Linked DNA regions of Canis lupus familiaris. The protein of the gene in region 1 purifies or fractionates together with the protein of each later gene. This does not show direct contact. Links are inferred from orthologs where the notes say so. Each region holds a gene or a part of one and is shown on either strand. Other genes may lie near its edges.

Region 1 (3,804 bases):
CAAGGGGCCCCAGACTGGGCCTGACATCACCTTCCCTGCAGTCATGAGGATGGCACCGTGCGGTTCTGGGATGCCTCAGGTGTGGCACTGCGGCCACTCTACAAGTTAAGCACAGCTGGCCTCTTCCAGACAGATTGCGAGCACGCCGACAGCCTGGCCCAGGCCACCGAGGATGACTGGCCGCCCTTTCGCAAGGTGGGCCCCTCCCCCAGCCCTGGGGAGTCTGGCCCCAGCTCTGCCCCGTGTCATCTCCCCATCCCGCCCCCCAGGTGGGCTGCTTCGACCCCTATAGTGACGATCCTCGGCTTGGGGTGCAGAAGGTGGCACTCTGCAAGTACACGGCCCAGATGGTGGTAGCTGGCACTGCAGGCCAGGTAAGGTGGAGGTGTCATCCAGGTTGGGGTCTCAGAGGGCTTTGTGGAGGAAGTGGGCCTGACCCAGATGGTCTGGTGGAGCAGGAGGGGGACCATCATGGCCAAAAGCCCAGAGATGGAAATGGGGCTCCAGGTGGGGATGGCTGGGGTGAGGTCAGCCAGGGAGGTGGAACCTACTAGGGGGTCTTGAGGGCTAGATTCTGGTTGTTGGGGAACCATGGAGGGTTGGGGCTGTAGTTGAGAGCTCAAGTATTAGGTGAGCTTTGGGGAAGTGGGGTCACTGCTATGCTTCCAGCACTCACACGGTACATAGGTGCTCAGTAGGGACTCATCGTTAGTTGTAAGACAGGCTAACGGGGAATCCTTTGCTTCAGAGGCCAATGGGCCTTGGTTACTGCTGTGCCACTGGCACTTGTGCATTATACAGGAGGTGCTCAGTGTCTGCTTATTACTAAATGAAGACAGGCATGGGGGTAGGGGGCATATTTTGCTGCTAGACGGCAAAGCAGTGGGTCTTGGTCACCGTGTTTCCCAGGGCTTAGTGAAGACCCTAGTATACAGTAGGCAGCCAATAAGTGCTTTTTAAGCAGATGAACTGGAGACCGTACTGGGACCACCCTGGCAAGGACTTTGCAGTATGAGGTAGGGCCTGGGTGGTCTAATACCATCATCCTCCTTGCTGACCCTGCCCCTACCCCACCCCACCGTGGGCTCAGGTGCTGGTGCTGGAGCTAAGTGATGTGCCATCGGAGCAGGCAGTCAGCGTGGCCAGTGTGGACCTCCTCCAGGACCGAGAGGGCTTCACGTGGAAGGGCCATGAGCGGCTGAGTCCACGCACGGGGCCGCTGCCGTGGCCTGCTGGCTTCCAGCCCCGGGTGCTGGTTCAGTGCCTGCCACCGGCTGCTGTGACAGCCGTCACGCTCCATGCCGAGTGGAGCCTCGTGGCCTTTGGCACCAGTCACGGCTTTGGCCTCTTTGACTATCAGCGCAGGAGCCCTGTGCTGGCCAGGTGTGTGGGGGACGGGCCCAGCCTCCTGTGGGAACCCTGGTGTTTCCCTGCAACTGTTGGGGCCTCGATCTCCCCTTCTAAGCTCTCATATGGTAGATAGGGTGACCTGAAGCCCCCTTCCCCTTTGGCAGCTCCGTCCTTATGGGAAGTGTCACTGGTAGAGTTTTAAACCCCTCCCCCACCCCACCCCTGCCAAGCTGCTGGGTTGCAGGACAGCCACACAGGACCTCTAGTTCCTGACCCATGGGGCCAACAGGAGCACAGTGGCTGCTCCAGGAGTCTGCTCTGTGGCCCAGCTGGTACCTTCCTGCCCACAGGTGCACACTACACCCCAACGACTCCCTGGCCATGGAGGGGCCACTGTCTCGGGTGAAGTCCCTCAAGAAGTCTTTGCGCCAGTCTTTCCGGCGCATCCGCAAGAGCCGAGTCTCGGGCAAGAAGCGGGCCACTAGTGCCACCAGCAAGGTGAGCTGGGGCCAGCCTGCCCTGGGTGCCGCCTGTCTACCTCTCAGGGCTGGGCAGAGCAACAGAGTTGGGCACCGGCCCCGGCCTTGGCCCCAAGCCTGGTGTCCACTCCCCATAGTTGCTCTGGCCAGGCTGATCAAGAGGGTGCCGGGCTGCTGGGCACCAGGTTGCGTGGGCGCAGGCAAGGTGTTGGGAAGGCGGCGTCCTGGAGGCCACTGCCTCTCCAGTTGCAGGAGGCCAATGCGCAGCTGGCTGAGCAGGCCTGCCCCCACGATGTGGAGATGACCCCAGTGCAGCGCCGCATTGAGCCCCGCTCCGCCGACGACTCCCTCTCTGGCGTCGTCCGCTGCCTCTACTTCGCTGACACGTTTCTTCGAGATGGTGAGATGGGGAGGATGCACTGGGGAGATGAGCCTTGGTTGGCCATCTAGGAGATACGGGGAGGGGGTGGGACCAGGCCTTATGGGAGGGTAGGGAAGCCTACCACATGCCACACTGAACTGGCTCCCCAAATAGTCCCCGGCCCCCAGAATTCCCATGTGTATGGGGCTGGTGAGGGAGCCTGGTGGGCCTCTGAGATCTGAAGAGGGAGAGGGAGCCCAAGATCTGAGGGAGGGGCATGCGAGGGTCAGCCTCACTGAGGAACCGGCTCTGCCCCTGATGGCTGGGAGCCTCCACAAGGTCCTCTATAGACTGCTGTGGCCTGGTTTATGGACTGATTCGCTGATCAGTTTTTAACTTGTGTAACAGAATTTCAGCCATACTCAAAAATAGGAGTCCGTCACCCTGCACATCCGGCCTGATGCCCCCAGCCATCTGCTGCTGTCACACCATCCCCACCTCATGCTCCATTGTCTATCTTGCTGGAGTGTTGTATAGATTTTATTTATTTATTCATGAGAGACACAGAGAGAGAGGCAGAGACACAGGCAGAGGGAGAAACAAGCTCCCTGCGGGACTCGATCTCAGGACCCTGGGTTCACACCCTAAGCCGAAGGCACATGCTCAATCACTGAGCCACCCAGGCATCCCTTGCTGGAGTATTTTAAATGAAAACCTTTGAGTGAGGACTTGAGTGTGTGTCCAACAGGCATAATCCACAGCCAGGGCACCCACATCGTACCTCGTGGAACCAATGCTGATCCCAGTCCCGCTTGGTCCACTTTGGCTTTCTCCATTTGTCTCAAAAATGCCTTTTTAGGGCAGCCCTGGTGGCGCAGTGGTTTAGCACCGCCTGCAGCCTGGGGTATGATCCTGGAGACCCGGGATTGAGTCCCACATCAGGTTCCCTGCATGGAGCCTGCTTCTCCCTCTGCCTGTGTCTCTGCCTCTGTGTGTGTCTCTATGAATAAATAAATAAAAATCTTTAAAAAAAAATTTTTTTTAAATGCCTTTTTATAGTAGATGTCGGGTCAGCATCTAGTCAGGCGGCCCTTGACCTCACTGAGACAACAACTTCCAGTCCCTGAGTCTGAGAGGGGCACACCCTCCTCCTGGTTTATTTGTATCTTGGGGATCCTCTGTCCAGTGGATCTTCTCACCAGCCAGACTTGGTAGCCCTAGGCCTTTACCTTGGTCCACTGTCCCTGCAAAAAGGCTGATGGGGTGCAGCTTCCCAGGTGGCTGCCTGTCATGGGTCCAGGTGGCATGATGAGTTGCTGACTCTTCCCTGGGGTTTGGCTCCCCCTGACGGTTGTTACTATGGCTGTCAGTTTATCAAGGGCACACACAGCACTGACTAATGGCTCCCTCACATTCAGTTCTGATTCTGCATTGAAGGACCTACCCCAAGTTTCAGCTCACACAGGGAAAGCTGGCCGGACAGCATCAGGCCTCAGGTCATTTCAGCCCAGGCCCAAGGGCTCCATGTCTGGCCGCAAGGTGGGAAGCATCCTTAGGTGTGGGCCGTGGCCGCTAGAGCACATCTACAGGGTGAAGGTGGTTCCCAGTTGGTCA
Region 2 (4,270 bases), on another chromosome or scaffold:
AAGTAGGCAGATGAGCGCAAGGCCCCAGGACTGCGGTGGAATGAACCGCCCCCACCCCCAGGTCAGGCCGGCCCCTCTGCAGGTGGGGGGGGGGGGGCACTGGAGGGTCTCCTCCTCACTTCCCTGGCGCGGCCAGTACTGTTTTAAACAGCCTCCCTGCGAGAAGGAACCGCGCTCTGGGGCATTTAAAACAGAGGGTTGTCTTTTATCAAGGACGGAGTTCTATCGCCCCACGGAGAAAAGAACATTGTCCAGAGGCTGCCGTTGGTGGAAACAGCAAACGGCGAAGAAACGGCTGGAGGAGGGAGAAGACTTCGCGAGCAGAGCCTAACGCAAGCCCTGGGAGGCCGATCCGAAGTCCTGCGCGCGGCCATGCACCCTGGGCCTCCGCCCACTTCCCCTCCCTCGCGGCGCCCTCTCGACCCCCTGGGACCCGCGGACGAAACCGAGCCCGCGGAGCCCCGATGCTCTCCCCCAGTAACTGTTGCAGAGGCGGGAGAACTTTTATTCCGTAGCCAGAGTTGCAGACGGACTCCCGAAGCACCCAGCCGGGCGGTGGAGGGGAGCCTCTGCAACTGCAGCCCCCAAAGCGGACTGCGGCGGGGGCGGGCGCGAAGCCAGCGGCACCTCCGCGCCCCGGGGCCCCGCGGGGCAGCGCGGTCCCACCCCCAGCCCGGCGCGCCCTCGCCCGACCCGGCCCTCGGGCGCGCGCCTGCGCCTGCGCTTGCGCAAAACGCCCCCGCCCCAGCGCCTCTCCAGGTGCGCTCGCGCTTCCGGCCGGCCTTCCCGAGGCGGAAACACCAGAGCCCGCGCATGCGCCTTCCAGCTCTCCTGCTAGGTCCGGGGAGGGGGGCCCAAGGCTTCAGGTGATCCCGCCCCTCCCTCGCAGCGCGGGACCAATCGCGAGGCGGTAGGCGGGATTTTCGCGGAGGCGGCCCGCCCACACGCTCGCGAGGCGGGTTTCGATTGGCTGGCGGCGCGGGCGCAGGTGCGCGCTTCCTATTGGGTGTGGGCGGAGCGCGAGCCGCCGAGGCTTCTGCCGAGGCTGCAGGTGAGCGCGCGCGCGCCGCGGCTCCCTCCCGGGCTCGGGTGCGCGCGCGCGGGCCGGCGGGGGAGGCGGCCGGGAGCGAGCTCGCGGCGCCCGTCGCCTGTGCTCCGCCCCCTCCGCCGTCGCGGCCGCCGCCGAGGCCCGGAGGGAGGGAGTCGCGTCCCCGCCCGCCGCGCAGCCAGTCGGACCCTCGGTGCCGCCGCGAGCAGCCGGCCGAGCGGAGCTCCGCGCCCAGAAGCCGAGTCGCGGCCGCCGCTCTGCAGGTGCCGGTGCGGAGGCGCCCGGGCCGCAGCCGCGTCCCCGGCCCCGGCCCCGTCCCGCCGGCCGCGACTCCCCGCGCTCCCGAGGGGCGGCCCGGCCGCAGGAGGCCGCCGCGGGGCCCGGCCTCAGCATGAACCGCAGCCACCGGCACGGGGCGGGCAGCGGCTGCCTGGGCACCATGGAGGTGAAGAGCAAGGTGCGCGGGCCCGGGGCCGGCGGGGGCGGGGGCGGGGGGCCGGGGCTGCCCGCTGGCTGCGGCCGCGGGGCGTGCGGGGCTGCCCGGTGCACTCGCCGAGAAGCGGGCGAGGGTGGGGCCTTGCGTTTGCTCCCGGCCCAGGTGGGAAGGCCCGCGGAGCCCTTGCCCTCCTGGGGTCTCAGCCCGGGGCGGGGATGGCAGGCGTCTGAGCGCAGTGTGGGCGAAGGCTTGGGGACGTTGTAGCTCCCGGCCTGTGAGTAGCAGGTATTGGAAACACGCGCGGTCACAAAATGTTACCCCTTCCCGTGGTCCAGGGGTGCATCGAGCGGTGAGACGGCGAGCCCAGGGCCCTGAAGAGCCCTTTGAAAGTTGGCTTTGCTTCCTGCTAGGGATTTTTCCAGCACTCCCTTTGGTATGCGTCCTATTTATAAGAATTAACACTATCACCTTTCGTTTGAGTAGCCCTTTACAGTTTGAGGCTGGATGCTCTCTTCATTCCATCGTGCTGCCTTTTCACATCAAGTGTTTTCCTTCCTGACCGACGGTATGCCAGCCTGCTGAAAATTCCGTCCATATCCACTGAATTCCTAAATTGCAAGGCTCCCCGAGCAGGGGAGTCTGTAGGGATTAGTTAGAGAATGCTTTCCAAAGGGGGTTTCGAGCTGGAATTTGAAGGTGATCGGCAACCACAGCAGCATTTTCAGCAAGCATTTTGTGAGTTGAAGAGCCAAAGGAGCTCAGATAATCTAGTTTGATTCTCTTGAGAAAACGGAGGGGTCAGAAAGGTTATGACTTCGCCAGGCTCTGCTTTTATGACAAAACCTGGAAGGCTTTTTACAGATAACTTCTAGACTCTGTAGAACAAACGTGTTTTTGAGAACATTAAAAACAGTTAACAAAACCAAGACACAAGAATGGGAGAACAGTACGAGCAGATCAGCTTCAAAAATAACGAAACACCATTGAGTGTAAGACTACAGAGGGCAAATCCAAAATCAGGGAGTGGTTTTGAGTGAAGTGGAGTAAGAAAAGCTCCCCGGAGCCTGGGGGTGGAATGGTTTTATCTAGAGCTGATAAGCAAAGTTCTGTGAGTTGCTGGGAACTGAGATCTTCACATCAAGAGTATCTACATTCATTTTAAACATCGTTTGAAAATGTTATTTGTGACCTCTGGAGCAGGATAGGCAAGTGGGTTCACAGAAACCGTTCTGCTTAATAAGAATAGAAATGTAATTATAGCAATTTAAGGACTGTGTTTTTTCTTTCCTGTGCCCTGCACAGAATCACTAGAGCAAATTGAAGGGACATGGCTTGAGCTAAGGGTTAAGATGACTCCAAATATACAGGATTTTTCCTCGAGCGGTATAGCAGCGGTAGTGGTTCTGTGCCCACTGGTTGAACTTTCTCAGGCATTTCTGCCATAAATCTAGTTTGCGTCTGTGGGGGTTGAGGTTAAGAAAAGAAAAACACTTATGATATTGCATAATCTTAAAATTCAGTTTGTGGTCCTAATCTTGGTAACAAGTCTTGAACTTTTTATCGTAGGAAAAAAATGAGTAGAGAGTCTAGGTGCACCGATAAATACAATCAAATGGTAATTTATCTCCTGGACTAGAAACCTGGAGCACTTTTGGGACTGGAATTTCAGGCTTTCTGCCCTTTCTCTTCTCTCAACTGACCTGTGAATCTTTCCCACACTTACATCTGTACTACACGTTGTATATTTGAGCTGCCATGCTGCACTCGTAGTGAACCATGTCTCTTAAATAGAATCGAGGCATTCTGAGGACCTGCACCAAATGAGGTGTGGTTCCTCTTGTTGTTCTAGATCTTGCTGAATAGACACAATATTAGGTACTGTTTTTAGCATCTGTGACACTGTTTTAAATAGATATTGTTGAGACATTTATTTTTAGTGGATTAAATGAAACACTTGTCATCTTTATCATTTAAAAAGTATTTAGACAGATGTTTGAAACAATATTTCTCTTTGTCCCTGCCTTGGTGATATCACAGCTTTTTTCAAAACTGATTGTCGGGAAGTTGTAACCACAGCCAGGTAACGTGCAGATCCACATTTCAAGATCTCTTTTTCTTCTGCATAGAAAACAGTGTCAACTGTATCATCTGAGCAGAGCTGGGGAAGTTCTTAATAATGAAGGTGATATCCCTCAGTAACCTTGGAACAGTCTTTGGGCCGTACATTTTCTACTTATTATTCATGGGCAAACAGCATTAAAATTAACTTTGCATTTCTCGAATGTACCAACAGATGCTGGGAGAAGGCCACATCCTGGGTGGCCAGGACAAACTAGATTGGCCTAAAGAGTTATAAATGGTTCATGTAGTGAAAAGTTGTTGACTCGGTCTTAATTTTATGTCTGTCTTAGTATTTTTCTTCATGTAGTAAAACGTTCTCTTAATCCTATTGTTTCTCTGCAAGAAGCATAACAGTTTCTCTTGTTTGGTTTTGTTTTCTGCTAACATTTGCAAAAGGGCACATCTGCTATGAAGCCATACAGTTTTTCATTGTTTTTATCATAACCTATAAGGAAGAGAAATACATGTTGAGCAAAGGATTTTCACCCAAAAGCTTTAACAAAGACGCTGGAGCCCTGCGATGTTCAATTGTTAGATGTTAACTTTCATTCACGTACCTGGAGAAGTGATAAACCCTGGCATGAATCAGAAAGCACTAGGAGCTTTGCATTGTGATACCAGAATAAAGAACATGGAGGAGAAACTGACTTTTGATAACATCATAA

The links.
Region 2: the proteins of LLGL1 (region 1) and PARD6B purify together in Homo sapiens (affinity purification with mass spectrometry; 5 studies listed by BioGRID and IntAct, counting the BioPlex papers as one, with this or other methods). This does not show direct contact. The link is inferred for Canis lupus familiaris from reciprocal best matches to the Homo sapiens genes LLGL1 and PARD6B.

Annotation. Positions count from the first base shown.
Region 1 is NC_049226.1:41,532,765-41,536,568, reverse strand, and holds part of LLGL1 (lethal(2) giant larvae protein homolog 1), read left to right. Parts: intron 1-41; coding exon 42-195; intron 196-269; coding exon 270-374; intron 375-1,090; coding exon 1,091-1,383; intron 1,384-1,700; coding exon 1,701-1,848; intron 1,849-2,075; coding exon 2,076-2,229; intron 2,230-3,804. UniProt on the Homo sapiens protein: Cortical cytoskeleton protein found in a complex involved in maintaining cell polarity and epithelial integrity. Involved in the regulation of mitotic spindle orientation, proliferation, differentiation and tissue organization of neuroepithelial cells.
Region 2 is NC_049245.1:37,729,103-37,733,372, forward strand, and holds the start of PARD6B (partitioning defective 6 homolog beta), read left to right. Parts: upstream 1-1,377; 5' UTR 1,378-1,439; coding exon 1,440-1,505; intron 1,506-4,270. UniProt on the Homo sapiens protein: Adapter protein involved in asymmetrical cell division and cell polarization processes. Probably involved in formation of epithelial tight junctions.